4 linked regions of the Xenopus tropicalis genome follow. The protein of the gene in region 1 interacts with the protein of each later gene in a biochemical or structural test. Links are inferred from orthologs where the notes say so. Each region holds a gene or a part of one and is shown on either strand. Other genes may lie near its edges. The genes, in order: nup62, nutf2, ogt and kpnb1.

Region 1 (7,795 bases):
AGCTGCTGGTTAAAATACAACAGAAGTTGTTTTTTATGTTATTTTTGTGTGGTCTATTAAAGTGTGGTAAGTGTTAAAAAAGAGACAAATTAGGGCTACTTCATAAGCACTTTCTCATTATGAGTTATGGTTAAAAAGTAGGCAGTTTCTCCCTACTCATGTCTGTTTTTTGTGTTTTACACTATCTTCTGTGTGGATAGTTATTTGAAAAAGAGCTTTCCCATAAACTATTTTACTTATTTTTGTTAAGAGATGCCCTAATCTGCTAGCTATATAGTTTATTTTTTGTCATACTTGTGATCCTTTGTGTTTCTTTTAATCTGATTCCTGCTTATGCCAAGGGCCTCAGTGCATAGCTTTGTATTCAGTAAAGTGAGATGCATATCTCTTATTAGTGAGTTCGACTACAGCAGGCACGGGTTTTGGAATGAAGATTTTGCCAAGCAGTGCTGCACCAACAGGAACATTGCCTACCAGCAGTAAGTATAAAGTGGGAAGTTTAGCATAGCAATAATTTCTGTAGTTCTGTGTTAAACACTTTTTTCACGGGATCATAATGTAATTTTAAGTTTACTCTTATATGAGTGAACAACAGAGCCTTGAGAACAGATGTTTTTGGTGATTGTAATGCAGGGTTTTGCAATATTGCAATTTTCTGCCTTACTATGCTCTTTTCCACCTTATTGTAATTGTGTGTAAATAATGGAAATTGTGCACTATTACATCCTTTTTCCTTGCTTTGCACTTTCTTGCCCTACAATACACTGTTTTGCCATATTGAGCATTTTGAGCAATAATTAAGATAAGCAGTGTGGGTCATGTGTATTGTATACGCAGTATACTGAGGAAGCGCACTGGCACAATACTCATTAGGAGCTCAGTGACCATGGAGCACTGTGGTACCTCTCTCCTTTGCATGAAGTTATGGTTGTTTTATGTGCAAAATAAAAGTTTGCATGTGTGATACTGCCTATGTTTGTAGGCACTTGTTCGCAATAAATTATTAGACTGATCAGCCGAATAAACCAAATCTTTAGTCCAATGCTATGGCTTTTCTTTAGGAAAATAGATTATAGTATAGTTGAAGTCTTTCTTCATGCATAAAATAGTTGCTGGTTCTCATCTAGAGACTTCTGTCCTTATTTTCAGCAGCCTCTCTTGGTATGAGAACTCCACTTTCTGGAACCACAGTTCAGGCTAATGTTGTCAGTTCTGCTGCAGCTGCAGGAGTCGGGTAAGAGGTGTCACAAATGATACCATTATCAGCATAGCAGTCATTAATTTTATTTCTCTGGTTGACTGATATTTTGATTTGTGTTTTTCCACATAATGGTTTGTCTTTTTAGTACTGCTGCAACAATGACTTATGCTCAGCTAGAAAATCTGATTAATAAGTGGAGTTTGGAATTGGAAGATCAAGAAAAACACTTTCTGCAACAAGCAACTCAGGTCAACGCATGGGACAGAACTCTTATGCAGAATGGAGAACGGGTGAGAAATCTGAGAAAAAAACACTTGTGTGGCTTAGTGTAAACAGTTTTTGTGTGTGTGCAATAATGTTTTCACAGGCAGAATTTATTTTTATTTATTTTTTTGTCTGATTTCAGATCACCACTTTACACAGAGAAATGGAAAAAGTTAAACTGGACCAGAAAAGGTATGAGTAGGAAGTAAAACGGCAAAAACATAGAAAATTTGACCAAGATGAATGATGTTTGGTTGATTGATTGAATATATGTAAGAAAGGCACACCTGAGCTGAAAATCAAATGTTTTAAATGTACAATATTGCATAAACCTATTAAATAATAGTTGGTTCTATTTTTAATGTTCTCATTTATAGAAATAGATTGAGTTTTTCATAGCAAAAAAAAAAAAGTAGGAAATATAAAACATGAGTAGTTGGGAATCACAATCCATGCAATTCAAAGTGAAAAGGGGACAGGGGGTGGGATGTTAGGAAAGGAGAGGGAGGATCAGTAACAACACTTGCATCAATGCTGGAGCCCTGTCAATCTTTGAACGCATATGCAAACTTGGTGTAACTAGATAGGGGACTTCTGGTGCCTCATCTTAAGAAGCAGTGCTGAAAGTTTGGGTTTTGTAAAGATAAAAATCCCAAAGTTGTAGTGGGCAAAAGTAGTTTCCTGTTCCTTCCACGTGGCAGTGGGTACCAAAGGTTTAATCTCCCCTGCCATGAAGAAGGTACAGGAAATTAAAACATATTAAAAGTACTTCCCCTTTCCAATGCACCTATTTATTTTTTCCTATCAAGACACCCTTTAAATACCAGCAGAGTAGCTCTCCTCTTGCTGAAGCTCCTGGGGCTGATTCATCTAAAAAGATTTATGCCTTTGCTGATCAAGATGTCCATCATTGGGTATTGGTATTGTCCTTAGTCAGTTGACATGGTTGCATAGGGAAGGGGAAGTCCTTTTTATATGTTGTCATTTTCTGTATATTTCATAGTAACATAGTAAGTTAGATTGAAAAAAAGATGTATGTCCATCACGTTCAATCATCTTCCTCACAGCAGGCACAAGAACAAGTATGTGAACAGATTGAAAAAGCAATGTTTAAAGTAATGTAAAATCCACAAACAAAAACAATTCAATAGAAAGTAAAATCTTGTTTTTGCTGTGTGTATTTTCATTTTCTGTCTGGCTGTGTAGAAATATATGGTGATTAAACAGGTACACCTGCATGCTAAGCTTGCTCTTTGGAAGCTATTGGGTCTGTTTCACCCTCTCTACTCTTCTATCAGGTTGGATCAGGAACTGGACTTCATCTTGTCACAGCAAAAAGAACTGGAGGACCTTCTGACTCCTCTGGAGGAATCTGTGAAAGAGCAGAGCGGAACCATTTACCTCCAGCATGCAGATGAAGAGAGAGAGAAAACGTGAGCCAGTATTATAATGTAATAACTAAGAAGTATAAGATACAAGGAGATCTGGGTTTGTGATTATACTCAAGTAGGCTTTGGTTATGAGAAAGGGAAGGCATGGTTAGGGCCAAATAATTGTGAATATCTTCCTGAAATAAGAATAATACATATTCAGAATGTTTCCCTCAAGAATAAAAATTGCATATCATTCATGTTACCCTTTACTACTCACTCCATGCAGGGTTGTGTCATTGAGTTGGTTATTTATAAATACACTTTGGTCTAATATATTGTTTAAGCAAAGGAAGGACACCCCAATTTATTTCACCTAACTGTCGGTTCTGCATGAAATCATATATATATATATATATATGAACCTGGAGTGTGCTGCCAACGTTTAAATCCTCTGCATGAAGAAAGGCTGCTCAGAGGGGGATAGTGAAGTGTAGCTTAATCATTTTAAAACAAGTTCTCGGTTCTGAAATAATGTTTGTGTATGTGATGTGCCTTAGGTAAGACCTTTTTGATGAAATTATGCTTTTACATTCCTGTTATATACTCGAGGAAGGGATAGGAAGTTCTGAAAAAAATGAATATTAACCGAAAAATAATGGTTTGCATAATGAAATAAAAAAAATAATTGTATGTAACTTTCCAGTACAGGTATGGGATCTGTTATCCGGAAACCCATAAGCCAGAAAGCTCTGAATTACAGGAACGCCATCTGTTACCAACATTATTAGCAAATCTAATTTTTAAAATTGATTTTCTTTTTCTCTGTAATAATAAAACAGTACCTTGTATTTGATCCCAACTTAGATATAATTAATTGGAGGCAAAGCAATCCTAATGGTTTTAATGTTTAAATAATTTTTAAATAGACTTAAGGTATGGAGATGCCTTATCCGGAAAGCCCTAGGTCCCAAGCATTTTAGATAATGGGTACCATACCTGTATAACCTGTATAAATTCTTTAAATTCACTTGCAGCATAAATCAGAACACTAGCTGTAAATTAACTCTGTATTCTTTAGATTTTGTTCACTTTTTCTATAGGTATTTTTTTTTTATGCTGTGCAGTCACAGAATTCACATCATCAGTACTGATGTTCTGTGAAACTAGATATATTTAGTGTGTTTTCTGTTTTTTATTCTTTTTCTTTTTGTCAAGCTTTAGCAAGCAGGTACATTTTTACATTGCTGCACACATTTTGCTATCTTTGGGTTTATGTAACCTGTAGAGTAATCCTGAAATTACGAAACATTTGGTGTGTTTTCAGGTACAAGCTGGCAGAAAACATTGATGCCCAGCTGAAGCGCATGGCCCAGGATCTAAAGGAGGTTATAGAGCATCTGAACACATCAGCTGGGCCAGGGGATGCTGGAAACCCGGTTAGTACTCTTTCTTCTCTGGAAGAGATTTCATGTTTCTTATTTATCTCTTATTACATTTTCTTGGATCATACTTTATCACTCTAATCAAAGGGGTCCTCAAACTTCTTAAGCAAGGGGCCAGTTCATGGTCCCTCAGACTGTTGATCGGCCAGACCACCACCCCCCGACAAACTATGGCCGACTCCTGCATTCTCTCCCCTGCCAGGGGTGAGGACACAGTGGTGGCCGGGTAAATTAACCTGGGGGTCAGGATCCGGCCCGCGGGTCATAGTTTGAGAATCCCTGCTCTAATGCTTCTATCTTTTTACAGTGGTTACTCACATCTTTGCCAATTACTAACTCTGCATTGCTGGCTGCTTTTACTTTATAACTGTCAGGCCTCTCTTAGCATTATCACCTTTTAACTTTTGGAGTGTTCATTTGTATTTGTATTTCTTCAGCTCCAGCAGATATGCAAGATTCTCAATGCCCACATGGACTCTTTACAGTGGATTGATCAGAACAGTGGTGAGTTGAAGAATGAGGCTTTGCGCAAAGTTTGTATTGGAAACTAGCATACCATAAAATAATAGCATTTTTGTTTATTTTAAATCGGATCTGTTCTGTGCAGAATAGTAATGATGCTGTTCTGGGTCAAAGCTGAAAATGCTGTGTGGAAACTGTTCTTCATAGATTGCTCAGGAAAGAAAGGCTGTAGCTTTCTTTTATATTGAATAGCGCTATGCTTTACACTATTTATCAAAAAGTAAAAGGAAGTAGAAGGACTACATCTGGCATTTAATAGAACACTTTGTTCTTTGAAACATGTAGTTTATTGGCTTGCTTTTATGCAATTTTGTGTGTGGGTATCCGTGCACAGCTTGTTTACAGTTGTACTTGAGGTGCATGGAATACTTGTTTGCTCTTGTGGAGAAATCTTTGTCACCCCTTGGGTCGCCTGCCATTGAAGTGAATTGCAGTCACCTATAACCAAGCATGGATTTTGTTTCATAGTTTTAATAAACAGGTATAAATAAGGAAGGACAATATTTATAGTTAAAATGGTCTGGACACTGAAGGTGGCAGCTTGTCGTCCCATTATCCCAGACGATAATCAGCCAGATCTTGATAGCATTGGTGCATTGATGTGGTCCTTATCCCTATGGCCCATATCATGTCAGTGTCATCCAATCGTTTGATCCTTGGGCCAGATGATCAAGGTGATTAAAGTGAGCTTATCAGCGAAAGATCCACTCATTTTGTGATCTTAAAGCATATGGGCAACTAAAAAAAAAAAAAGTAAATGGACCTTTGCATGAGCCACTTGCATTTCACAGACGGTACGGTGTTGGCCTAAGAATTTCACGACAGGCACAGCATGGCCCACAGAATTTCACTATTGGTGCAGTTAGTGCTGGGCGGTATGACCAAAAATTTATATCACGGTATTTTTTTTATTATATCGGTATCACGGTATTTGACGGTATTTTTTTTTCCCCATGCATGATTACGTGACCACCCCAAACACCCCCCCCCCAACCCCAAACACCCCCCCATCCAACCCCCCATCCAACCCCAAACACCCCCCCATCCCCTTCACATAAATAAACCTTACGGACCAGGCAGCCGCAGGCACCCCCGACAGCTCACAGAGCCTCCTGGCAATTTTTCTTACTATTTCCGGGTTGCGCGCGTGACGTCAGCGTGCGCGTGACGTCAGCGCGCACGTAACGTCAGCGCGCACAACCCGGAAATAGTAAGAAAAATTGCCAGGAGGCGCCCACACCGGTATGCCGGTAAGTTAAAATTTTTTATCATCTTTTTTAAAAAAACCGGTGTTCGGTATATACCGGTATACCGCCCAGCACTAGGTGCAGTGTGTCATGACAGGCACAATGTGACTCACCCAGCAATTCATAATAAGAACTTGTAGTCCAAAGCATTACCTTACAGTGCAAAGCAGGTTACATTTGGTAAATAATGTGTCTGCCAGCAAAGAAATTTTGAAAAAGAGTGTGAAACAACAGCAAGTCACTCAGCCATGCCATTACTAGCTTTTTCTACAGGGACTGCAGCAATAGCAGAATGTTGAGTAACCTAATGTTTAAATACTATACAGATAGCGCAGGCACTTGTGTATAGGAGAGAGAGGTTGTCTGGGTGTAGTTCAAGCATAGACTTTCATCAGGAAAAAGGAGCCCACACAACTCATGGCTTAATCGGTTCTCAATGTAACTCTTTATTGTGGAGACTGTGGGCTGAAGAGTTAGTCTCCCCAAGAAAGAATTGCGCTAAGAATTGATTAAACCCTGAGTCTTGCAGGATCCTTTTTTTTTTTATATAAAAAAAATCTGGAATTCATGTTTGTTGGGCAGCTTCTCTGTTACAGGAGGGGGAGAAGTAACAGGAAGGAAAGGTGTGAATTTTCATAAAAAGGGATTCAGTTATTAGAAATGTGAATACACTAATCAATCGCAAGGACCCTACATGCTGAACTGTCTGTTGTTTGCCTGGTGCTTGGGTTCAGAGGGGCTGGGGAAAAACAGTGAAAAACAAAGTGAAAAACAATGTTAAAGGAACAGTAACACCAAAAAATTCAAGTGTATAAATAAATTCTAATATAATGTACTGTTGCCCTGCACTGGTACAACTGGTGTGTTTGCCTCAGAAACACTACTATGGTTTATATAACAAATGCCGCTGTGTAGCCATGGGGGCAGCCATTCAAAGGAGAAAAGGCACAGGCACTTAGCAGATAACAGAAAAAAACACTATTGTATTCTACAGAGCTTATCCGTTATCTGCTATGTAACCTGTGCCTTTTTTTCCTGCTTGAATGGCTGCCCCTGGGGCTACACAGCAGCTTATTTATATAAACTATAGTAGAGTTACTGTAGCAAACACACAACTTTTACCAGTGCAGGGCAACAGTACATTATATTTAATTTCCTTTAAAACTGTTTAATTTTTTGGTGTTACTGTTCCTTTAATCCTTGGGCTGGTCCAATTAGCTTCTCAGAGGAGGGAATACTTTTCCCTTCTGAGGAGGCTTCAGATGGGGTTTTTCACTGTCTTTTTGGAGTAGCTAGCAGAGTTCGCATGAAAAAAATAGGTTGAACTTGATGGATGTGTTTTTTTTGCACCTTAAATTACTAGGTTACTAGGAAAGCAGTGGGAGTGGTAGGCTTGGTAACCTGCACGCCAAACACTGGCTTTTTTGCAAAGCTAAAATTGAACGGATAAGAAACATTTGAATGTTGGGCTATCGCCAATTGAAATTGATCATTGGCAGAAAGTTGGCTACAGTGCTTATTGATACCCAGTTTTCTTGCTCAATAGGAGGTTTGGCTTAGTTAGCAATTTAATCATTGTTAGTGTGAGTTTTAAAGAACAAAACCTGTTCTGTCCAGAGCAAATAACTTCAACAAAATATCACATTCCCTTGTATAACAACCAATTAAATGCACTTTTATTTCAGGTACAGGTATGGGATTCCTTATTCAGAAACCTATTATCCAAAAAGTCCGAATTACGGAAAG
Region 2 (8,247 bases), on another chromosome or scaffold:
CTGAGTGTCACTTGTTTTTTGTTGGTATACTGGACTCTAGAGGGTGCCGATCCCTTTAAAGGAACAGTAACACCAAAAAATGAAAGTGTATAAAAGTAACTAAAATATAATGCGCTGCTGCCCTGCACTGGTAAAAGTTGTGTGTTTACTTCAGAAAGTCTACTATAATTTATATAAATAAGCTGCTATGTAGCCATGGAGGCAGCCATTCAAAGGAGAAAAGGCACAGGCACATAGCAGATAACAGATAAAACACTATTGTATTCTACAGAGCTTATCTGTTATCTGCTATGTAACCTGTGCCTTTTCTCCTTTTTTCCAGCTTGAATGGCTGCCCCCGTGGCTACACAGCAGGTTATTATATAAATTATAATAGTGTTACTGTAGCAAACACACCAGTTTTACCAGTGCAGGGCAACAGTGCATTATATTTTTATTACTTTAAAGCTCTTTTATTTTTTGGTGTTACTGTTCCTTTAATAGTGAGCACCGGGCGTTGAAGTTTTTTGGAGAGCCTGGGTGTGCGGGAACGATCTCTTTTGTGTACTAAGGGTGAAGAGACACAGAGCTACTTACTAGCAGCTATTTGTTGTGGCTACTAAACGCCAGAAAATACCCTGCCACAGACAACACTGAGAATTGCCTCTGTTAAAACACATGTAGAGACAATTATCAACAAATGATCAACACTGTCTTTTTTAGTAGCCACAAAAAGTAGCTGCTACTAGTAGCTCCGTGTGTCTTTACCCTAAGGTGGCAGTGGCACACGGGGTGATTAGTCGCCCGCGATAAATATTAACTACCGCGGGCGACTAATCTTCCCAACATGCCATCCCACCGGCAATAATGTAAATCGCCGGTGGGATGGCATACATTTCGCTTCGATTTCCCAAATTCGCCCGAGGTTTCCTTGCGGGGCAACTTCGGCCAACTGAAGCAATGCGAATGCCATCCCACCGGCGATATACACTCTTGACAGTGGCATGGCATTTCAGGGAGATTAGTCGGCCTTGGTTATTAAGATTTATCGCGGGTGACCAATCTCTGGGCCCCAAAAGCCAATCGTATACCCATTTTGATTTGTAGTCCTCAGATACATTTTTTGAGTTTATTTTATTTAAAAGCAGTCAACTCCTGTTTGTATTTATCCACTACAGTCTTAAATTTGTCCAGCCAATCAGTCGTATTATCAGCCTTTAGGAACTCTAGGTATTGTACCTCCAGTTGCCCAATCTCACCTCTAACTCCAGTTCTTGCCCACTTGTTCCAAAACTAGGGGGCACATTCATGAAAACGCGAGTTCGAATCCTGAATGGGATAACTTCGGATTGGATCCAAAAATTTCTGAAGATCACCAATATCACGAATATGTTTACGAAAAAATCGTATTAGTCACGAAAATATCGTGTTGGCGATCTGAAAATCACAAAATTTTTGTTTTGAATGATCGTAAAATGCAGGAAAACCTTTCCGACTTTGATCCTTCTGTGCATGATTTTGAAAGCCTCCCATAGGAATCAATGGCACTCTGCAGCTCCAACCTTGTCCAAGGAAAGTCACGATAACGAAGCTTGAATGAATCCGAAACTTTCGTACTCGGCGTGACAATACGATTTTGTCGTGCAAATTTTTTTGCAAAGTACGAAAAAGTCATGAAAAATACAAAAAAGTCGCACAAGGTACGAAACTGTTGCAATAAATACAAAATAAATATGAAAAAAACATGTTCAGATGCATTCGGAGCGTTCGTGGGGATATTGGTGATTCTAAATCCCCAAGGCATAAGCCTCTGCCTATGGTAATTAGAAAGGAAAATACCATGTAATTGTAAATCAAGTTCTCTCTTTTTAAATTTCAGCTTATCAATCAGTTTATGATACTCATCAATTATGGGATTACTCACGGCCAAAGGAGTCTCTGTAAATAGAATCCTATCTGCATTTATGGTAGAAAAGCCAAAATCCTGATGTGTCCACGTCAATAGTAAATTGTGATGCACTGTCCTCCATACTCCAGTCGCTGTATCTACACACCCTTTTTCCTCACCATCTGCTGGCCCAGTTGCTGAATACCAAGTATCCTCAGCACTCCAGTTGATAAGCCACCAAGTTCCATTAACAAACTCTCATTATCATGACAATGAAGACTCAAAACTAAAGCTGCTAGGCCACCCCAGTCCTGGTGTACCATAAATGCTGAGTGCAATCTCAGGATAGCCCAGTGGTCCCCAACCAGTGGCTTGTAAGCAACATGTTGCTCCCCAACCCCTTGAATGTTGCTCCCAGTGGTCTGAAAGCAGGTTCTTAATTTTTAATTCCTGGCCTGGACTTTAGTTGTAGTTGCATAAAAATAAGGTGTACTGAGAAACAGAACCTCCTGTAGGCTGCCAGACCACATAGGGGCTACCAAATAACCAAGCACATCCCATATTTGGTACCCCCAGGTACGTTTTTCATGCATGCACTGCTCCCCAACTCTTTTTATATTTGATAGTAGGTCACAGGTAAAAAAGGTTGGGCACCCCTGGTCTAGCCTAATACACAGAGGAAAAGAAAAGCACACCTAGGGGCAGATTTATTAAAGTACGATTTTCGTATTGTTAAAAAGTACGATTGGAACTACGAAAATTTCTGATGTGCGATACGATTTTGTTGCACAAATTGACGCAAAGCACGAAAAAGTTGCGTAATTTAACGAAAATATTGTGGAAATTATGTATAGTATTTTTCCCATTCTGACCCATGCGTACTTTGATACATGTGCCCCCTAAAGTCAATTCTAATACCTGGGTGCCAGTGCAAGAATTAAAATATAATAAGTCCGAGTGATGGCACTCCACAGGAATATACACAGAGGATAAATCAAGCAAATATAAGGTTTATTTAATCCAATGTTTTGGTTCCACACAGAAACCTTAATCAGGGAAACCAATATATATGGCTGGGCATATCGGTTTGCTTGAATGTCTTGAACCAAAACTACAACATATAAATAAATGCTTATTTATTTTTCATAACTTTTCTTAAGGTCTCCTTGCTTACACACTGGACTTGCATGTATAAAGGTAGGACGTGGGCTGCCTATAATACATACCTACATCTAACTCTGTATATGGATTTATGTGTATGATAGGCAGATAGATTAATACACAGTTGTGAGGTATTATTTGAGCAGTGGGTCCATTCAATTAATTAATTCTAATATAAATGCTAATCAAGATCTCTAAAGGGCTAATTACCACAGTCCGATACTGTAAATACCTAAAGAATGTGTAACACTTGTTTGGGTCCCTACAAATGCATATACTTTACTGCACAGATAAAAAATGTTCACATTAATACAATTACCGATTAACACTGCAGGTTGGTATATCATACCTACTACAGCAACATGAAACATAACACGTTATACTCATAAATAAGGCGATTCTAGAACTTCTGACGTTCCCAGGTAAAACTACATTTCCCAGCAGCCGCGGAGTTCCGGTCCCGCCCATTGTAGGAGGGGCTTGTCACGCGGGAGGGCGGTGGCGGCGGGAGTTGTTGGAAGCTTGGGGACAGTACAGTGTAGAACACAGCATTTGGTGTGGGGTGAGTTTTTAATCTCCATATATGTTTTAGGGGGCATTTTAGTTTGATAGCGTTTAGCGCTGTGCATGAGTGTTTTTTAGTATCTGACCTTATTTGACGCAAAGGGCCGTATAAACTTGGCATGACTGAGATGTGGGCCTGGACTGGGGTGGGTGGTGGCCTAAGGCTTGCACTTATACATTTTGCCTACTAGTTTCGTGCACAGAGTATGATTTGGCATTTGCTATTTGTACCAGTCAGTAAAACAGTAAACTGAATTACTTGGTGCTTAATATCGGTTATAAATCTTTCTATACCCCTTATATATGGGCCTGCTCTCCCACCCTCGTTTTTCAAGTACTGGCATAACAAGCGCAACATAACTTACATATAGATAACTGAGTATGTATATCTGATATGTATATACGTGTGTATGCGTAGTTATAGATATACATTCATATTATACATATATAATAAGCAGGATAATTGGGGAGGATCCCCACCCACCCACTGTGGAATGAGAATACTCAGCACTTTCACTGTTCAGTTATATTTATAGCACTTTGACTGCATTTGCCATGTGACTCGTCTATATGAAAGTTAAAGGGGAAGCTCAAGTAAACTTTAGTATGTTATAGACATATTCTTATGAAGTTTTAAAATGGTCATCATTTATAGCTTTTCATGGTTTTCTGACTAATAGTTTGTCTATTCTGTTTATTTCTGGCCTAGAACTGAACATACTTGTTTTTTAAAGTTTTTGGACAACAAGCAACCAGAACTAGACTGTAGGGCATCTATTGGGGGGCCTTTTACATTACATGGGCTTCTATTTCTATTTGGTCCCTCTGCTATTTATCTTCCATTCCAACTTTCCGTCTGGTGCCATTTTGCAAGGCAATTAAACCCTATGAATGAGACAGTAGTTAAAATGATAATCTGGACAAAAAATGTAAAAAAAAATTAAGAATTTTACAAATTTTTAGAATTTAATGGTCTACTTTTATACTAGAAGTTCATTTTAAAGGGGCAGTATACACCTATGTAGACAATTTTTCCCCATGTGAGCAAAATAGGCATGGCCATCTCCCACAGAGTATATTTTAAAGGAGAAGGAAAGTCTCAGTCACTTGTGGGGTGCCAAAATGTTAGGCATCCCCCAGTATTGTATTCACTCACCTGATTCCCCAGGCAGGTTCTCCTGTTAGCAGAAAACTGCAGTGGCCTGAGGCATGTGCGTAGAGTGAAAGAACTATCAAAGTTTGGCTTTTCACTCTACTGCGCATGCACAAGTGTCACCAAGAAAGGACAGGTCTCACTCTCTGGTACCTTGGGCTGGTGCAGTTTTTGGCTAATGGGAGCACCAACAGATCACAGGAGACTAATCTTTTAGTGTGCCATCAGCCTAAGTTCTACTGGTCCAGTAATATACAGCCAGTTTGGCAACCTTGCTCATAACATTTTGTAGTAATTTTTGTTGTAGGACACCACAATATTTGATATAATCTCTTTCTTTATTTTGCTTGGTTCTATCAACCCAGTGTCTTGATAGCTGGAGTGTAATTCATAAAATGCAGTCTAATCTCTATTGTACATACCCACATCTTGAGTTTTTGCACATTTTATCTTTGTGGTCCTACCACCTTAAAATATATTTAAATTGCTACATTTCTTAGTTTTTACACATTTTCCCCACTTATTACCACAAAATTTTGTTTACCTAAAAAGGCCTTTGTCCTCTGTAAATGTTTTAGTTGATTTGGAATTCAGTATTTACAGGATTAGGATTTTAGCTAACTTGCATCTTCTATGACTATTAACAAATCAGTTATTGTATTAGGTTGTGCCTCTGACGTTCAGAGTGGTTTTGGAAATGCAGTTCCACAGAGTCAAATTAATGCTGCACTGTGTAAACACCTTAACATTACCACAGTAAAGTATTGTTTCAAAGAAAAAAATGACTCCTGTGAATATATCTCTTGAATAATTGAGGCTTGTGTTGCTTGAACACATTTCCATTACTTTTACATGTTATTTTGGATTTTACAACATTTTTTATGGTCCACAGAAAAAATAAAAATAGTGATCTACGTTTTTTTCTTTAAAATCTGTCCTTTTAATAAATATTTGTATATGACTGTAGGTGTTAAGATTGTTAAATGACTTCTATCTTGCAAAAATAAAAAGTTTAGTCTACTGGAAATGTGGGCTAATAAAGCCTGAACTCTAGTTTGGGAAAACAAAAGTATTGCAAGCACAAGGCACCCACACCAGGAGGGGCTTCTGGTATGGACAACCATGTTTGATGTACATCAATGTACATAATAATTTAGTGCCCCAGCAATGTGTGTGTTGAGGGATTAGGGCACATACCCGCATACATCCACATAATGAGCGAGTTGGAGCCTTTTCTTATGTGGAAATATGTGCACCAACTGTGTATCACTTATTAAATTCCCCAACATCTCCTGACAGGCCTAATTAGAGTTAGCTGTCTAAAGGTGGCCATACACAGCTCGATAAAAGCTGCCAACGGGGTTAGCATCTTATTGGCTTGTTTATTGCCCGCCTTGGGAAAGATCCACTTGTTTGTTGACCCCGCCAAACGAGCAGATCTGTCATTGTTTAAGAGCCCTGAAGTGTGTAGTCTGCTGCAAAACAGGCTGTACTGCTACAAAATAAAAGCCATATTTCTTGCTGTTGAAATAAATATTTTGCAGGGACCTGCTATATCTCCATACAGCTAAACCTTACTAATAGGCAATGGATACCTTTGCTACATTGAATAATAACATAATTGATAAAATAAGAAAAATTAAGAAACCAGAGGTTAAAACACAAAGTTCAGTGTAAAAATGAAGCTGGGTAAAACAGACTGCACAAAATAAAAAATATTTCTAATATAATTAACTGTAATCTATAAAGGCTGGAGTGAGCAGATGTCTAATGTAAGACATCTGGTCACTCCAGCCTTTATAGATAACATTTTTGCCTAACTATATTAAAAACACTTTTTATTTTGCGCAGTCTATCTATTTTACCTAGTTTAATTTTTACACCAAACTGTTCTTTTAAAACACTACAACTAAGGGCAAAGAACATGGGTAAGAAATCACTGATTATTGGGCAGAGACTTGACTAGCAGAGTTCCCGAGAGAATTGGTGTAATAGGTACCCATTATACAGAAAGTTTTGAATTACGGAATGTCTGTCTCCCATAGACTCCATTTTAATCAAATAATTCAGATTTTTAAAATTGATTTCCCTTTTCCCTGTATAATAAAACAGTACCTTGTACTTGATCCCAACTAAGGTATAATTAATCCTTACTGGCGCCAAAACAATCTGGAATAACCTTGAGTCCTATACCTGTACACTGAGGTCTGTTCCCCAAAACAGAACTTCAGAACTCATGGCCAGGATCCATTTTGGATCCTCATCCCCAACAAGACATATAATTAAACAAATAAAACAACTTTGGGGAACCATTATTTCTTATTTTGCTTGTTTCTCTGACAAAATGCAAAGTAAGGCCATGTACTCTAAAAATGTCTCCAAAGCATTAGTTTATAGAACCAGTGTTTACAGATAAGGAGGAAACAATTTAAGTGAACAGTAACTCCCTTTTTTAACATTAATTTAATCAATAGGGCTTGGTGCTTAACAAACAATTTGCCTGTTTTGCCATTTTGGGCCAATCACTGTTCCATATAGCTGCTGATAACTTAGGATCTGCTTCTCTCCACCTGATTAAAAACCGCAGGCGTAGGGAAGTGTTTGATATGCAATGTGTGCCCTTGCCCTTAAGGTGGACATATATGGGCCGATTCTAGCATCCAATAACGTTCCTGTAGACCATTTCGGAAACTTATCGGCCCGTGTATGTACACCAACAATGGGCCTGCCCGACCAACATCTGGCCTGAAATCGGCCAGATCTCGATTGGGTAGGTTTTATTGTAGGTGGGGATATTGGGAGGTCGTCAAGCGAGCGGATCTTAGCGTGTATGGCCACCTTTAAGGCTGCTCTCAGCCTGCATTTTTTTAGGCAGGCAGAAAGAAGCGAATCCGCTTACTTTCCCAGCTTCGTGTATCTGCGCTGACAAGTACAGCTGCCGTCTGAGTGCAGGTATGTCGAGCAGAGATCGGACTAAAAAATGCAACGGCAGGCCTTTTCGTGCCAATCTCAGCTCAATACCTGCACTCAAGCAGAAGCTGTACTTGTCAGTGCAGATACACAAAGCTGTGGAAGTGGGAGCTAACACTCTGTGTGCCTTTGACCTTAGAGTTCTTGAATCTAGATCGGTTAGAATTGTCAACAGTATTTAAAGATCTGGGCTTGTGTTGTTAGACTCATAAACTCATATTTATATGTTCAGCTACCTTTTTAGTTTTGTTTGTGTTAAATCAGTCAAATCCTATTTTTCTCTGTCTATGACAGAGGACAAGGAAAGTGTAAAATACAGATGCGTTGCCAACCGTAGTGACTAAATCACTGACCTTAAATCCTAGGCCTGTACTGAAAAATTCACTGGACCACTGTATCCCTATTAAACATACTTCTAAGTTGAACTGTGAACTAACAAGCCATCACCCCCAATAACATCTTCTATTTATTTGCCAGTAGTTCTAAACTAGAGCCAAAAGTGTAAGGTCCAGGGTGTTCTCAAATGCTCTGT
Region 3 (7,795 bases), about 5.4 Mb from region 1:
TTTTTTACAATTTAGACGTTATATACCAAAGCCAGATGGGCCTTGTATCAGTGGCTCCGGTAACGTGTGAGTGGGGGTCAGTGATAACAAAGCAGTTCTGAGGGCGCAGCCTGCATAGCCAGAGTGTTAGCAGCCAATGGCAACTGTACGTGTGTAGATCTTTGGCCAGTCCTTAGGATAGCTTTAGGTAGTTGTTGGAACACTACAGCCCCCATTTAAGGTGATGTTTGGGATGCAGGGAGAGTAGTTCTGCAACAACTAGACCTCTGAAGGTTGCATGTTGCTGGCTTGGATTACCTACCCATAGAAGCAGTGTTTAGCCCATATCCTTAGACGTTTATAACAGTAATTCTACTAACAGCAACAATGGGCTTTCTGCCAAACAGCCTAATCGTTGTTATACATTCATTTATGAGATATTTATTATCCCATTATAACATAAAATACACTTGTACTATAGCAGGCTGCATAGTTCAATAGTCTCTAAATACTGAGTTGCCATACATTATAGGCTATAGATAGATTTGTATGTATAGACACCTGGCAGGGAAGACTGGGTTAAGGAACAGTAACACCTAAAAATGAACGTGTTTTAAACTAATAAATAATGTACTATTGCCATGCACTGCTAACACTGGCCTGGTTGGTTTAAAAACCCTACTATAGTTTATATAAATACCCTGCTGTATAGCCATGGGGGCAGCCATTCAAGCTGGAAAAAAGGAGAAAGGGCACAGGTTACATAGCAGATAACAGATATGCTCTGTAGAATACAATGGTGTTTTATCTGTTATATGCTATGTGCCTGTGCCTTTCCATTTCTTTTTCCAGCTTGAACTGCTGCCCCCATGGCTACACAGCAACATAACTATAGAAATTATAATAGGGTTTCTTAAGCAAACATACAACTTTTACCAGTGCAGGGCAACAGTACATTATGTTTTTATTACTTTGATACATTTTCATTTCTTAGCGTTAAGGTTTCTTTAAGGCTTTGTATGTGAAAAGGTGGCCAGGTTAATGGAACAGTTAGGCACACTTCTTGGATAGTAAGATTTCTTTCACTGTTGCTATGACAGAGGGAACATGTTTGCCCCAAAACCTTGCGTGACATGGCGAGATGTGAATTGGGCACACTGAGAAAAAAGTGATGCCATTGATAATGCAAGTGTGACCTCTGTGAGAGAATATGGTGGGGGCACGGGACATGATAGTGAGAGAAAAGATGTATCATGCTGTTGATTATATTTGTATGTCCCTGTAGTTGCGTATGACCTGCCAGGATAAGTATTGGGACCACTGGGGCTGTGACAGTAAGAGGAAAAAGACAATATATTCTGGATAACACGTTTATTCTTATAGTTGTTTCTGTTCTGACAGTATGAGTATTGGATCACTGGAGGTTTGGCAGTAAGAGGAAAAATACATCATGCCATTGGTAACACTTGTATGTCCCTGTAGTTGCGTATGACCTTCCAAGATGAGTATGGGAACCATTGGGCTGTGACAGTAAGAGGCAATAGACATTGTCATTGATAAAGCAATATGTGTCTTCATGTAACCTGGCAAGATGAGTATTGGGGGGCACTGGAGCTATGGCAGTGCTGAAACATACGTCATACTAGGAATACATTGTGTCCCCATAACTGTGTGTCACTACTAGGGTGAGTATTGGGGGCTCTGGTGTTATGGCAGTAAGAGAAAATACACATTATGCCATTGATTACGTGTATGTGTAGAGCTGGGCGGTATGACCAAAAATTTATATGACGGTATTTTTTTTTTTTTTTCCATGCATGATTAGGTGTTACCCCATTTCCTAATAAATTAGAGAATAATTACTGCAGTATTGAAAATCAGAGTCAGGCAAGCGAAGGATCGGCAACAGAAAGTCGTAAGGTAAATCAGGCAGGCTTAGTTTCCCAGGCAAGGCCGCAGACAACATAGCACAGGAGGAGGCGTTTGATAGCTTTAAATACCCCCCACGCATGCGCAGAACCGGCGCCATCAGCGCCTTGCGGACGTGCACGCTTTGACATGTACGTGCGCGCTTTGACATGTACGTGCGCTTTGACGCACGCGCACCGTCCCGCGGACAACGGGACGCGCGCGAGACCGGGAAGCACGGGTGTTTACCCTGACACCCCGGTATTGCGGTATCTGAAAAATGAATATAGTTTAAAAAAAAAAAAAAACAACCGGTATTCGGTATTAAACGGTATATCGCCCAGCCCTATGTATGTGTTCTTTTATCTGCATGCGACATGGCAGGGTGTGTGTTGTGCTCACTGGAGATTTGGCAGTAAAGAGAAAAACATCATATAGGGATAACAATGTTCCTGTAGTTGTGTATACTGGGGGCACTGGAGCTACAATAGCGAGGAAACATATTGCACTAGGAATAACAAATTGGTGCCCTTTTAACAGTTGTATGAGTTGGGTTTTTTTGTTGTGATTATGTTATTTGTTCAATTTTAACTTCTGCTTTCACCACCAGGAACATCATGAAAAGTTGAAGTAATATAATGTTTTTCTCAGAATGACATGTGCTTGCAGTGTGTTTTCATAGTAATGCTGTTAGTTCTTTGTATCTCGGCTAGTGATTCAGTATGGGATGTATTCACTCACGCTTATGACTCCAGAGGGATACTGTTAACATTTACTGCAGCGCCAAGCATGCATTAACTCTATGCATTTAAAGTCAGGTGAACCTGGGGAACCCTAAATTCACTCTTTGATAAACATATCCTTTACCCTTGCACTGCAATCGTTGCATTAAAAATTTATGGCACATTTATTCCTTTAAAGCGGTTATAAACCAAAGCATAGAATTTTCCCAAAGGAATATATAATTCTAAGCAACTTTACAATATAAATACAATACGTTACATGCTTTAAATGATTGTCAAAGCTTTTTGTAGATGTTGTTGCTAATAAAAGCAGTGTCTCTAAACTTTGATTTTCTCTACACTGTTGGTTTTGACTATTGAAATAATGTAATGCAGGGATTGGCAGAGTGGCATTGGAGAGGTGTATGAGCCTGGCAGCAGTATTCATTATGGACTGGAGAGGGGACAGTCTTTGGAGGGGAAGGCCAATTAATAGGGAGTTACAGTAGTCCAGGCGAGAGATTATAAGAGTGAATAAGAATTTTGGCAGAATCTTGGGTGATAAATTATCATATTTTGGAAATATTTCTTAGGTAAAAGTGACATGATTTGATAAGTGACTGGATATGAGGCGTGAAGGACAGGGCAGAATCAAGGATAACCCCAAGGCACTGGGTCTGGGAAGATGGAATGATTGTAGAATTGTTAACCGTTATAGATACCTCGGGAACAATTTTGGCGTTGGATGGGGGAAAGAGAACCAATTCAGTCTTAGAGAGGTTTAATTTAAGGTAACGTTTGAACATCCAAGTGGAGACAGCGGACAGGCAGGAAGAGACGCGAGTTAGAAGCTCTGGGTTGAGATTAGGAGAGGAAAGATAGATCTGAGTATCATCAGCATAGAGGTGGTACTGAAAGCCAAAAAAATTGATTCATTTGCCAAGTGAGGAGGTATAGAGAAAATAGTAAGGGGCCCAGAACAGAGCCTTGAGGAACCCCAACAGAAAGAGGCAAGGGAGAAGACGATGCTCCATTATAAGGGCCACTGAAGTTCAGAAAGGCACAGACAATACTGCTTTTAATTGCAATTTTAATGTGCTTTAAAATTTCTGTATTCTTGGAAGGCTGCTTAGAATTAAAATATTCTTTTATTAGGCAGATGGTATTTTTGGGTTTATATCTTCAAGAAGATATAATTTTTAACTGGTGAGTGTATTCTTTCTTGTTCCCGGCGCATTTAGAATAAATGATTCTTGGACAAAGGTTGTGTCTGCCATGATTGACACAGCTTCTTGCAGTAGTCACCCTAACCTGCCCTAGCCCAACATAACCCAACCTGGGCTGGGGCGTCACAATTATTTATATACCCAAGACTAATCTGCCCACCCATTAGCAGCAGAGTGGTATATGCCCACAGGGGGGTTGCTCTTGCCAGAAATTGTATTGTTTTCCCCTCACGGAGTGCAAGGCCTGTTGACGCACAGCTTTGGCAGGGGAAATTTATTTAGGTGCCCCAGCATGTACTCCCTGTGTACACTGTCACTCTTCCTGGTAAGTTTGCTTCTGGTTATTCATGATGGCTGTTAGATGGTTTTTCTCAGCTGGTTATAGTTTAAGGCCTAAAAGATGTTCATATTTTGTACCTGAGACTTTCCAGTGGTACTTTGCATTTTTCGGGGATTGATTTCCTGCAGGTATATGGACGTTTGCCAAAGCTTCAATTGTTTGTCAGCAGGCTTTAAATTTGACCCAAGTGCTTTATCTTAGTTTTGAGCTACATTAAAACATAATGGCTGCAGTGCTCTGAACTAACGCCACAAATAACATTTCCGCGTAGAATTTGTTACTTTGTAAAACAGGTATTTGTATTTGTCAAGTTTGATCTAGGGACAAACCAGATTCATACTTTTATAATTCTGGGGAACACTGAATCTTCCACAAAAGATTTGGCCGAATACTGAACTGAATCCAAAACCTAATGTGCATATTCAGACTAAAGAAGGGTAAAAAGTCTATTGTGAATACACGTGTAATATATAAGTAATAAGTGAATGCTAGCAAGGCATGGGTTATTGGCTTGGTTGTCCAAAATGGGGGCAGGATTTATGTTGACAGGTTTTATATTATCTCTGGTTATATATGATATGCCATTAAAGGAGACATATCCTATAAAAATTAAGAATGTACCAGAGAATTATACTCCTCCTAGATATAGAAGGAATGTGCTTAAAGTATTTCAGACTGATTTATTGAGAAATTCCACTAGTCCCACCCATCAGTTCCACTTCCTGCTGGCTGAATTCTCTGGATGAGCTGGGGAGCCGGCGGCCCTCCGTACACTGCACTATAAGATAGGAACCAATCAGCAGCTAGGCTGACCTGATAGGGAACTGAAGCCTGTCTTTGCTTGTGGGCGTGCAGGGCTGTGATTGGCTATCCTCCTCCTACTGTGCTTCTGGCAGGGACTGTTAGGACACGCCCACTCTCCATTTCAAACTCGGAGGGAGAAGAGATAGGATCTATAGGGAGCTCCAATAAAGGGGCCATTTTTACAGATAGGATTAATGTTTAGCACAAAGTGAAACCAGCACCTTTATATTATTCATAATTGCCTACAAAATTAGGGTTTCCCCATTTATCCAATATGTCCCGTTTAAGATGTGATTGGAAAATACTTTCACTGCTTGAAATAAAGGACAAAGAAAGTAAAATAAAGTGTGTGCAGAACTGTAGAGTATTAAGTGTGTATTGTATGCTTTGTGTCTTTCGGGGATCTGATACCTTGCCGTTATCCTTCACATTTTGTAATTTCTTGAATTTGTTCTCTTTTCACAATATTTTATTCTTTGAAACAATGCAACCTGGTATGTGATACCTTGCTTTTATCCTGTACATTTCATTATTTCCTGGATGTTATTTTTTCACAATATTTATTCTTTGAAATAATGCCAACCCACAAAGAAGTTTGCAAACTACAGACTATAGGTAATGTGAGCCTTTCTCTGTATGCAACATGATTTCATGCTCATACAAAAAATTTTTTGGGAAGTTTTTCATCTTTTTTTTTTTTTTTCTTTTTTTTTTTTTTTATCATTCACATTTTTTCTGTTCTTTTTATTTCCATTTTCTAATTTTTTTCCCCCCCTAAATGTTTTGATGATTCTCTAGAACCAACGAAACGTATGCTTTCCTTCCAAGGGTTAGCGGAGTTGGCTCATCGAGAGTACCAGGCTGGAGACTTTGAAGCAGCTGAAAGACACTGCATGCAGCTCTGGAGACAGGAACCTGATAATACTGGAGTTTTGTTGTTGCTGTCATCTATACATTTCCAGTGCCGTAGGCTTGACAGGTAAGAAACCCTTTTTGTGAATGTAATTCTATTCAGATATTGCCAGCCTGACACAATTTGTGTTATTCCTCATGAAAGGTTTAGCTATATTCTTAACCAAATCCTCAAATGAATGACAGAAACTGTTTAACGGCCTCGGCATTAAATCATATCCAATTATTTGTTGTTTTAACTCTGTGCAAGTAGTTTTGTACTTCCTTAAGTTAATATTATTGTAGTTACTTTTCCACCCAGAATGTAATAACAAATGGTACTAGGTTCTATAGTATTTGAGCTGAGACCCTTCTATATACAACATAGTTAGTTCTCACTCATTTTTGCCGTGATACCGAGGGCTGGATTGATAATGGAAGCCAGTTTTGACCACTACCCAACACATAATCACACACTTTAGGGACCATACAAGGACTATTTCCAAATGCGAACAAACTCCCAGAACAAAACCCTGCAGACAGGGACAGGCATAGAATGGCACACACTGGCAGCATAGGGTGGCAGAGAATGGCACACACGGGCAGCATAGGGTAGGCAGAGTATGGGGCACACGGGCAGCATGGGGTAGGGAGAGTATGGCACACACAGGCAGCATAGGGCAGGCAGAGTATGGCACACATAGGCAGCATAGGGCAGGAAGAGTATGGTACACACAGGCAGCGTAGGGCAGGCAGAGTATGGCACACGCAGGCAGAGTTTAGCAAACAGGCAGCATAGGTTAGGCACAGTATGGCGCACACAAGCAGCATAGGGCAGGCAGTATGCCACATACAGGAAGGGTATGGCAGGCAGAGTATGGCACACACAGGCCGTACATACAGTGACACAAGGCTGGCACGGCTCCTACAGTCTGCGGTGTAAGCAATGTGGGCGTGTACAGTCTTTGCCTGAGCTGTGAACAATGGAGGAACTAAAAGATGTAAACAACACAGGGTTTAAAGTTGTTTACAGCCTGAATCTGAGGTGTGAACAATGCAGGGGGCAATTCATCTCAGTACTGTTGCCATTTAAAGCTTACACATAGCTAAGCAATTACAGCATCCAGACAGGGGGGCACATGGGGGGGGGGGGGCTGCGTGCCGCCAGTTGGACAGCCCCGAGGTTCAGCTTGCTTTATGTTTAAAATTAGGTAATACAACAAAATATGATTTAAAGTAAGTTTTGGTACTTTTTTTTTTAATAGGTCTGCCCATTTCAGCACGTTGGCTATTAAGCAGAACCCCCTTCTTGCAGAAGCCTATTCGAACTTGGGCAATGTTTATAAAGAGCGAGGACAACTTCAGGAAGCTATTGAACATTATCGGCATGCTCTGAGGCTAAAACCAGACTTCATTGATGGATATATTAATCTTGCTGCGGCTTTGGTAGCAGCTGGTGATATGGAGGGCGCAGTACAAGCTTATGTGTCTGCTCTTCAGTACAACCCTGTAAGTTATTCTTTGTATGTTTAAATGGACAGTACCACTTATAAATGAATTCTTGAAAGTCCACATACAAATGGGATCCTAGGACAGCATGGAATTGTATGACAAGCTACAGCAGCCTTATGTCATTCAGTTGAAACCCACCCCTATGTTGCTCCAATACCTATTCCAATGTGGTGAATTCTGTTTTTTTTTTTTTTTGTGTGGGGGCAAGGGTATATAGCAAATAGGGTATATAGTTGGTTCAGTGGGAAGAGATTAATCGAATGTGATAGTGTTGAAGTACCCTCAGACCCTATAAAGGGTTAGCCTAAGCAAACATTTGCTTCCAAACCTTAACATACTTTATGCTGCTTTTGTCCATTGTGAGTGTTAAATGTGTTTCTGTATTTTAATCCTATTTTTGTCTTTCTCTTTTA
Region 4 (7,795 bases), on another chromosome or scaffold:
CACAAACATTTAGACTACCAGTCACAGGAATCCATTTGATATGGAAAACTGACTTGGGTGTGAGCGGTATTGAGTGTAAGCTTCCTGGACAACTGGTTCTCTACTAAGCTTACATTACCCATATACTCTGTGTAAAACAATAGATATGAATACATACAAATTGATATATATTAACTGCATACCAGATGTTAATATTTGATTATATATTGGGGCATTAGCAAATATTTGTACACATTTATTATATATTTATGCATACACACATTATATAATGTGTGCCTCTATAATAAATGTCTGATTCATCCTACATTGGAGAGAAGTAATATTCTTTTAGTGTGTTGGCTAAGCTTAAAGCAAACAACCGCTGACTGATGTAGCTCCACTTTTCCATTCAGTTCTTCAAGTTTGCATATCTCACTCAGGGTTTTGAAACCTGTAGTAATTACACAGCTTATACTGTTTTATAAATCCAATTGTTAAATCTAAAGTTTAAGTTTTCCACTGAGTTGGCATTGGCTTTTTTTCAAGCGAATGGTCTTCAGGTTGGGGAGGTGTAAAACTTGGCTGATTTGTTTTCAACAGGCAATGCCTACACTGATTGAGCTAATGAAGGACCCCAGTGTAGTTGTGAGAGACACTACGGCCTGGACAGTGGGGCGAATATGTGAGCTGTTACCTGAAGCAGCCATCAATGATGTATATTTGGCACCTCTTCTTCAGTGCCTCATTGAAGGTCTTGGAGCAGAACCTAGGGTGGCATCAAATGTCTGCTGGGTAAGACCAAAGTGTTGCTATGTGCTTGTTTAAGCATGTGTGGAAATATTAATGCTGTGTAATAATAGATGTTTGAATTGAGAGAATTTGAATTTTTGCTCTTTCAGGCTTTCTCCAGTTTAGCTGAGGCTGCTTATGAAGCCGCTGATGTAACTGATGACCAGGAGGAGCCATCTTCATACTGCCTGTCCTCTTCGTTTGAAGTGATTGTACAGAAACTGCTTGAGACGACAGACAGGTGAGGTGTAGCTCTATTATGTGCCTTAAATTCTTAATTGTGCTGATTTGAAAAATGCAGGCCCTCTGATATTATGAATGAAGCTATATAGTGTTTACAAGTCCTTTACACCACACTCCCTTACAGTATAGGATGTACTTGCGGTTGTCTAAGGATGATAAGTTCATGCACCACGCAGAACCAGCTGTGTTGATTATGACTCTCTGAAGGCACCAAAAAAGCTCAGCATATTTATATGTAACCAAAATCTTAGATCCTGTCCGATGTAGTGGCCCTAAAGTGATGAGGCTAATGGATTTCATTTTAAGTTGTAACAGCATATTAATCAGTCTTTAAATTGCAGGCCTGATGGACATCAAAACAACCTGCGAAGTGCTGCCTATGAAGCTCTAATGGAGATAGTTAAGAACAGTGCCAAGGACTGCTACCCCGCAGTACAGAAAACCACCCTAGTAATAATGGAGAGGCTACAGCAAGTACTTCAGATGGAGGTAGGAGTTGAAAGCATCTGCTGCGTGAGACTAGTTTGTGTTTTGTAGCCAGTAGAGCTCTTATATATTCCACCCTCCTTTTCTTTCCACAGTCCCACATACAGAGCACTTCGGATAGAATCCAGTTCAATGACTTGCAGTCCCTGCTATGTGCTACCCTTCAGGTAAGGACTGTTATAATGTAAGAATTCGAAAGTTACTGGGTGGTTTAAATATTCATAACTAACTTTACATTTCTCAACCTCTTGACAAAGTGTATTACAAATACAGGTTTTGGATCCCTTTTATCTAGAAACCTCTGAATTTGAAAAGTCCATTTCCCATGGAGTCCATTTTATAGGACAAGGCAACTCAAAATATAATTTTTTGCCTAATAAAAGAAACCAAAACTCTAAGCAGCTTTGCAATATACATTTATTACAAGTTTGTAATGGTTTTTGGGTTATTTGTATTTATAATTGCTATTAGAAGCAGTGTTTGCCTGTCCTTTTCTATTCTCTGCCCTGGGGGCTCAGACTGTTGAAACATTGTAACACAAGGCAGCAGACTGACAGATCTGTATTGCTGGAGAAGCAAGACCTTTGCAACATTGTTTAAAATGTAACAACCAGGAGCTCAGCAAATGCTGCTTTCAATAGCAATTACATTTACAAATAACGTTTAAAAGCGCTACAAATATTTAATTATTTCATATTGGAAAGTTGCTTAGAATTATGTTTTCTTTCATTATGCAAAACATTATTTTTGGGGTTGACATGCCCCAAATCTAATTTCTAAATTATTTTTTTTCTGGAGTAATAAAACAGCACTTTGTGCTTAATCCTAACTGAGCTGCGTCAATCCATATTGGTGTCAATGCAATCCTATTGGGTTTATGTAATGTTTAAATGTTTTTTTTTTTTTTTTAGCAGGCTTAAGGAATGGGTTATCCAATATATAATATTCCTTATCTGGAAAGCCGATCCCAAGCATTCAAGATCATAGATTTTTCCTATACCTGTATAATTATTGAAGGCTGCAACCTTTTAGTACATGCCTGGGACAAGACGACTTTAGGTCTCCAGTATTTTCACAGCGAATATAAAATTTAAAGAAACATTAACATCAAAAAATGAAAAAATTTGAAAATGAATTCAAATATAGGGTGTCTATTTCCTGTACTGGTAGTTGTACGTTTGCTTAAACACTTCTATAGATTATATGAATAAGCTGATTTATAGCCATGGGGCAGCTATTCAAGCTGAAATAGGGCTAAATGGCACAGGCTACATAGCAGATAAGCTCTGTATGATACAATAGATTTAGGCCTTGTGCAGAAATATAAACCCACTTTTGCAGGTTGAATATCTTCCCCTATGGCTGCACAGCAGTATTTTCATACTGGTAAAAAGCCAGTTTTACCAGTGCAGGGAAACCGTATGTTATATTTTAATACTTTTAAACACTTTGATATATTTTTTTGGTGTTACTGTTTCTTTAAGGGGAGTATGTTATCTGCACTGTTATGTTCCCTGGCGGCTTCATTTGACAACTTGAAACCCACACTGAAATGCAAGCTGCCTGCAGTACTGCAGCAAGATCTTACATGGTGACTCAGTCTAAGTGGAACTGTCGATCCTTGTGAGCACAAATCAAGCCCTGATTTTAAAAGGTGTTGCTATCATGCAACCTCTATTGCTCCCAGCCCCTACCTGTATAAATCCCACAGCGTTTTACAGAGTGAAGACCCTGACTAGTTTTAAATGGGCCCACAAACACCATAAACTGCAATACGCTTATCCAAAGACTCCTATAAATCCTGAAAGACTCCCATATCCTAATAAATTATGAGGAAATATGGAAGCAAACTGAACATTTTTGTGCAGTAAACTGCAGTCATTGCGCTGGTATCATAAAGTACAAGGAAAGGTACAATCACTTACCAGGTATCCCAGGCCGGTGCTCATTAGTAGAAAACTGCAACAGTCCAGTGTACACATTTTGGTAACCCCCAATGATTGTACTTTTCCTTTATACAAATTACCTTGAATATATGGTACAACACTAAAACCAGTATACGGTATTTACAGTTTCTTAACACACCCCATTTCCCACTTGGATGCATAACCCCTCCAGGTTTGACCATTTGGCTTGTACACTAAACTTTAATGGAGTTGTGGTAAGGAAACAAACTATCCTACATATTTGGTGGTCATATTATCTATGTGCAAAATATAGGGGTGCTTCTGTCACACATTGTGCACTGTATGTGCAGTTGTTATAATACCTTCTGGAACTTTTGACAATACAAAGACTTTACAATATAGAGCAGTTGTCTTGAAAATAATAATTGCGCAAAGAAACGAGACTAATCAGCAGTTTGTTCATGTTGTCTGTGAAGCTCTGGGCAGTGGCTCATCGTGAACATGAAGTTCCAACAATGTAACATGAAATTATTGATTTCATTATGGTGGCTACTGCCATGTCTCAGCCCTTGAATATGAACTTCCCCTACCTGTGTTAAGCAAGTGCTTTCCGGCAAGCAAGAAAATGCATCCATGTGGCAAGAGAAACCTCTTATACTTGTTTTTATGTATCAGAATTGTTTTTATACTTTCTTAATCTGTATATCCTATTATGGTTTTCTCTAGAATGTGCTGAGGAAGGTGCAACACCAGGATGCCCTACAGATATCTGATGTTGTGATGGCCTCATTGCTCCGCATGTTCCAGAGCACTGCAGGTTCTGGGGGAGTACAGGAAGATGCCCTCATGGCAGTCAGCACCCTAGTGGAAGGTAATGGTGCCTGATGTGGTTGCAGTACAACCTATGTGTAAGATTGATGTTTGCAAAGTTTGGCACAAATAGAAATCAATATGAATGCAGTGGTTGTCACAAAGTAAAGTGTAGTCGTAATTGCATACTATTACAAACCACTGTTTCATTTATTGCCCTGGTTTTGTCCTATAGTTACATAGGGTTGAAAAGACGACCAGAGTCCATCAAGTTCAACCCTTCCAAGTAAACCCAGCACCCACAAACCTATACAGACCTATATCTATACACTCGCATACATAAACTATATATATACCAACAACAATACTAACTGTGGAGTTTATGTTGGTATAAATCTCATTACTGATGCCAACAGTGGCTAGTGGAGAATGTCATCTTGAACAATTATGTCACATAGATGCCATAATGACATGTTACTTATTTTTCATTAAGTATGGGGTTTGCATTCCTGTTTTATAGTGCTTGGAGCAGAATTCCTCAAGTACATGGAAGCATTTAAACCATTCCTTGGCATTGGACTTAAAAATTATGCAGAGTATCAGGTAAGATGACATTCCTGTTTGCCAAACTCTCCCACCTTGGCCCGCACTGGCAGGTTGTAGATTCTGGAAAATGCTAAGCCAATTTTTAATCTATTAGGACTCCCCCATGTGATTGTAATCTAAATGGAGATTAAATGGCATATTAAATACCCCAGTCGTTTTGCAGTGTTCTTAGTGTACAAAAAAGCCCTAGAAACGTCTAGTTGCTGGAGAGTCTCTGGATGACAAGTTCATGCACCACACAGAAATGTTCTGTTGATTATGAATTTCTGAAGACTTCTTCCAGACTGTAGGAAGTTTTAGAGTTCCCTTTTGTTTATTTGCATTTCTGCCACATAGCGTAGAAAGTAGCACGTTTGCCTGCGTTTGTGTAAGAATAGGCTTCTGTAAACCCTGTTGTTTTTCCCAGGTGTGTCTAGCTGCAGTAGGACTTGTTGGTGACCTGTGCCGTGCTCTACAATCCAATATCTTGCCATTCTGTGACGAAATGATGCAGCTTCTGCTAGAGAACTTAGGGGTAAGTATTTGGTGAAAGAGGAATTGTGTACAGCAATTGCAGTTCTTTTTATTATGGACGTGTAAGCCTAGGAAAGATACCACCATGCCTTACTTGTGTAGTCTGGTTATGGTTATTTTGCATCTTGGAGAATAGCAAGCTATTTCATGCTGTAGAATGCTTAATAGATTGTTTCCTGTTATATTACCAGAATGAAAATGTTCACCGCTCAGTGAAGCCTCAGATCCTTTCTGTATTTGGAGACGTTGCCCTGGCCATTGGAGGGGAGTTCAAAAAATACCTAGATGTTGTGCTTAATACACTGCAGCAAGCATCACAAGCTCAGGTAGACAAGGTAAGCAGCAGCATTGTTCCACGAAAGGGCCTTACCAGCAGGAATTATTTCCACAATCTAGAGCAGCAAGACAAGCAGCGGCTATATGTAACATATTCCTGAGCTGCCTTGTTGGTTGAATAATCTAGGGAACAGAGTTGAGACTTTTCCTCCCTGTATTTTTGGCTTCCTCCACACCATAACTTTTTAAAACTGTGTCTGTTATGGGTTCGAGGAGTGACTCTCCCCAACCCTCTGTGTCTCTTCCCCTGCAGTCAGATTACGATATGGTGGATTATCTAAATGAGCTTCGAGAGGGCTGCTTAGAAGCATATACAGGAATAATCCAGGGGCTCAAGGGAGACCAAGAAAATGTCCACCGTAAGTATTTCCTAGCAGACTCTTGTCTACTGTCAAGTCATCATCCGAGGAGTTGAACTGAAAATTTTAATTATAAAAGGTGAATATATTATTGCCTGCCATTGTCCAGATTGTGACATTCATGTTAGCTAAGGATCACTGGCCCAATGTTGGGCATAAAAAGAAAGTTATGGTCATTTTGTTTTTGTCAAGGGTTATGCAGGGGCACAGCTTTGTATGTTCTTGTGCTGTGTATGGCATAAGAGGTCATGGTAACCTCTCTTGCAGCCGATGTGATGTTGGTGCAGCCCCGTGTAGAATTTATCCTGTCATTTATCGATCACATCGCGGGTGACGAGGATCATACAGATAGTGTGGTGGCCTGTGGAGCTGGTCTTATAGGGTAAGTGGCGATCTATTTACTACTTGCATGCACATAGAGGTCATTGTATTAAATGGTGCTTCACCCCATTGGTTTATAGGATGCTTTGGAATGAGTTACCATTTTTCCTTAAATTGACCATAACACAGGCAGGTCACCCTTTGACAAGGTTACCAGATCTTTTTTTAAAAGCATCTGCATTAATATTTCCATCAACTGACCTGTACGCCAGACTTTCATTCTTGCCATTTCTTTAGTAGAATGCTTTGAAACACAAGCTGTACAATTCTTTGAACGTTAGAATTGGTCTTGAACAGTGATCCCCAACCAGTGGCTCGGGGGTAACATGTTGCTCACCAACCCCTTGGATGTTGCTCTCAGTGCCCCCAAACCCAGGGAGTTATTTTTGAATTCCTGACTTGATGGCAAGTTTTGGTTGAATAAAAACAAGATTTACTACCAAATAAAGCCCCCTGTAAGCTGATAGCGTGCTTAAAGGCCCCTAATAGCCAATCTTAGCCCTTATGTGGCACCTCCATTAACTTTTATGATGCTATTGTTGCTCTCAAAGTCTTTTTACATTTTGACTGTGGCTCACAAGTTGTGGACCCCTCGTCAAGATAACTAAAGGGAATAACTGTTCCATGATAAACATAGTCACAGGAAAAAGAAGCTGCTTATTGACATCAGTGGATGGTGAATCAGACTTTTCTTTTTCTTCCCTTAAAAGAGACTTGTGCACAGCCTTTGGAAAGGATGTCCTGAAGTTGGTAGAGGCTCGACCTTTGATCCATGAGCTGCTGACAGAAGGGAGGAGATCCAAGACAAACAAGACAAAAACACTTGCTACCTGGGCGACCAAGGAACTGAGGAAGCTGAAAAACCAAGCCTGGTAAGAATTGTGTGTTCAGCACCCTGCGTACCTAATGTTGAGTGTCTGCTTCTAAACCCTCGTCTCCTCTCTTCTCCCTTAGACCTCACTGGCTGTGTGAAGCCCGAAATCCCACTGGAAATCTCCAATCTATTTGAAAACAAAATTATATCCCGGAAGTGAGGAGTATGAGCGGATACTTGAATGTTTGGGAATGAGAGGATGAGTGAGTGAGGCTTCAAACATACCGCATGGATGATGCAACCACAGCAGTGCTGTGAGACGAGCAGACTTCCTGGGAGAGAGAGGGAGAGCCATAACATTGTCTGCCCCCTCAAGAGGAGCGAGCACAGTGGACCTCCACTTACTGGTGTCTGCTTTCACTGCCTTGTGGCTGGGGCAGAACAGGAGTGACTAGTATAACCTTTTTTGTTAATTTCCTTAACATCTGCCCCTTTACCTACTTTCCACTTTTTTTTCTTTTTTTTTTTTTTTTTTTTTTTTTGTTAACCAACTTAAGAATGTGGGTGCCCCT

Evidence for each region.
Region 2: the proteins of nup62 (region 1) and nutf2 form a complex in vitro, tested with the Homo sapiens proteins (3 studies listed by BioGRID). The link is inferred for Xenopus tropicalis from reciprocal best matches to the Homo sapiens genes NUP62 and NUTF2.
Region 3: of the proteins of nup62 (region 1) and ogt, one has a biochemical effect on the other in vitro, tested with the Homo sapiens proteins (2 studies listed by BioGRID). The link is inferred for Xenopus tropicalis from reciprocal best matches to the Homo sapiens genes NUP62 and OGT.
Region 4: the proteins of nup62 (region 1) and kpnb1 form a complex in vitro, tested with the Homo sapiens proteins (2 studies listed by BioGRID). The link is inferred for Xenopus tropicalis from reciprocal best matches to the Homo sapiens genes NUP62 and KPNB1.

What each region holds. Positions count from the first base shown.
Region 1 is NC_030684.2:38,699,322-38,707,116, forward strand, and holds part of nup62 (nucleoporin-62 C-terminal-like protein), read left to right. Parts: intron 1-395; coding exon 396-479; intron 480-1,149; coding exon 1,150-1,234; intron 1,235-1,346; coding exon 1,347-1,491; intron 1,492-1,607; coding exon 1,608-1,657; intron 1,658-2,763; coding exon 2,764-2,898; intron 2,899-4,162; coding exon 4,163-4,274; intron 4,275-4,717; coding exon 4,718-4,784; intron 4,785-7,795. UniProt on the Homo sapiens protein: Essential component of the nuclear pore complex. The N-terminal is probably involved in nucleocytoplasmic transport.
Region 2 is NC_030680.2:41,284,633-41,292,879, reverse strand, and holds the start of nutf2 (nuclear transport factor 2), read left to right. Parts: upstream 1-3,564; 5' UTR 3,565-3,590; intron 3,591-8,247. UniProt on the Homo sapiens protein: Mediates the import of GDP-bound RAN from the cytoplasm into the nucleus which is essential for the function of RAN in cargo receptor-mediated nucleocytoplasmic transport.
Region 3 is NC_030684.2:44,080,081-44,087,875, reverse strand, and holds part of ogt (UDP-N-acetylglucosamine--peptide N-acetylglucosaminyltransferase 110 kDa subunit), read left to right. Parts: intron 1-5,777; coding exon of another isoform or gene 5,778-5,807; coding exon 5,808-5,958; intron 5,959-7,135; coding exon 7,136-7,379; intron 7,380-7,795. UniProt on the Homo sapiens protein: Catalyzes the transfer of a single N-acetylglucosamine from UDP-GlcNAc to a serine or threonine residue in cytoplasmic and nuclear proteins resulting in their modification with a beta-linked N-acetylglucosamine (O-GlcNAc).
Region 4 is NC_030686.2:10,821,349-10,829,143, reverse strand, and holds part of kpnb1 (importin subunit beta-1), read left to right. Parts: intron 1-579; coding exon 580-771; intron 772-878; coding exon 879-1,009; intron 1,010-1,352; coding exon 1,353-1,500; intron 1,501-1,592; coding exon 1,593-1,664; intron 1,665-4,130; coding exon 4,131-4,275; intron 4,276-4,734; coding exon 4,735-4,817; intron 4,818-5,226; coding exon 5,227-5,334; intron 5,335-5,524; coding exon 5,525-5,668; intron 5,669-5,882; coding exon of another isoform or gene 5,883-5,888; exon of another isoform or gene 5,889-5,903; intron 5,904-5,922; coding exon 5,923-6,028; intron 6,029-6,295; coding exon 6,296-6,410; intron 6,411-7,119; coding exon 7,120-7,281; intron 7,282-7,363; coding exon 7,364-7,364; 3' UTR 7,365-7,795.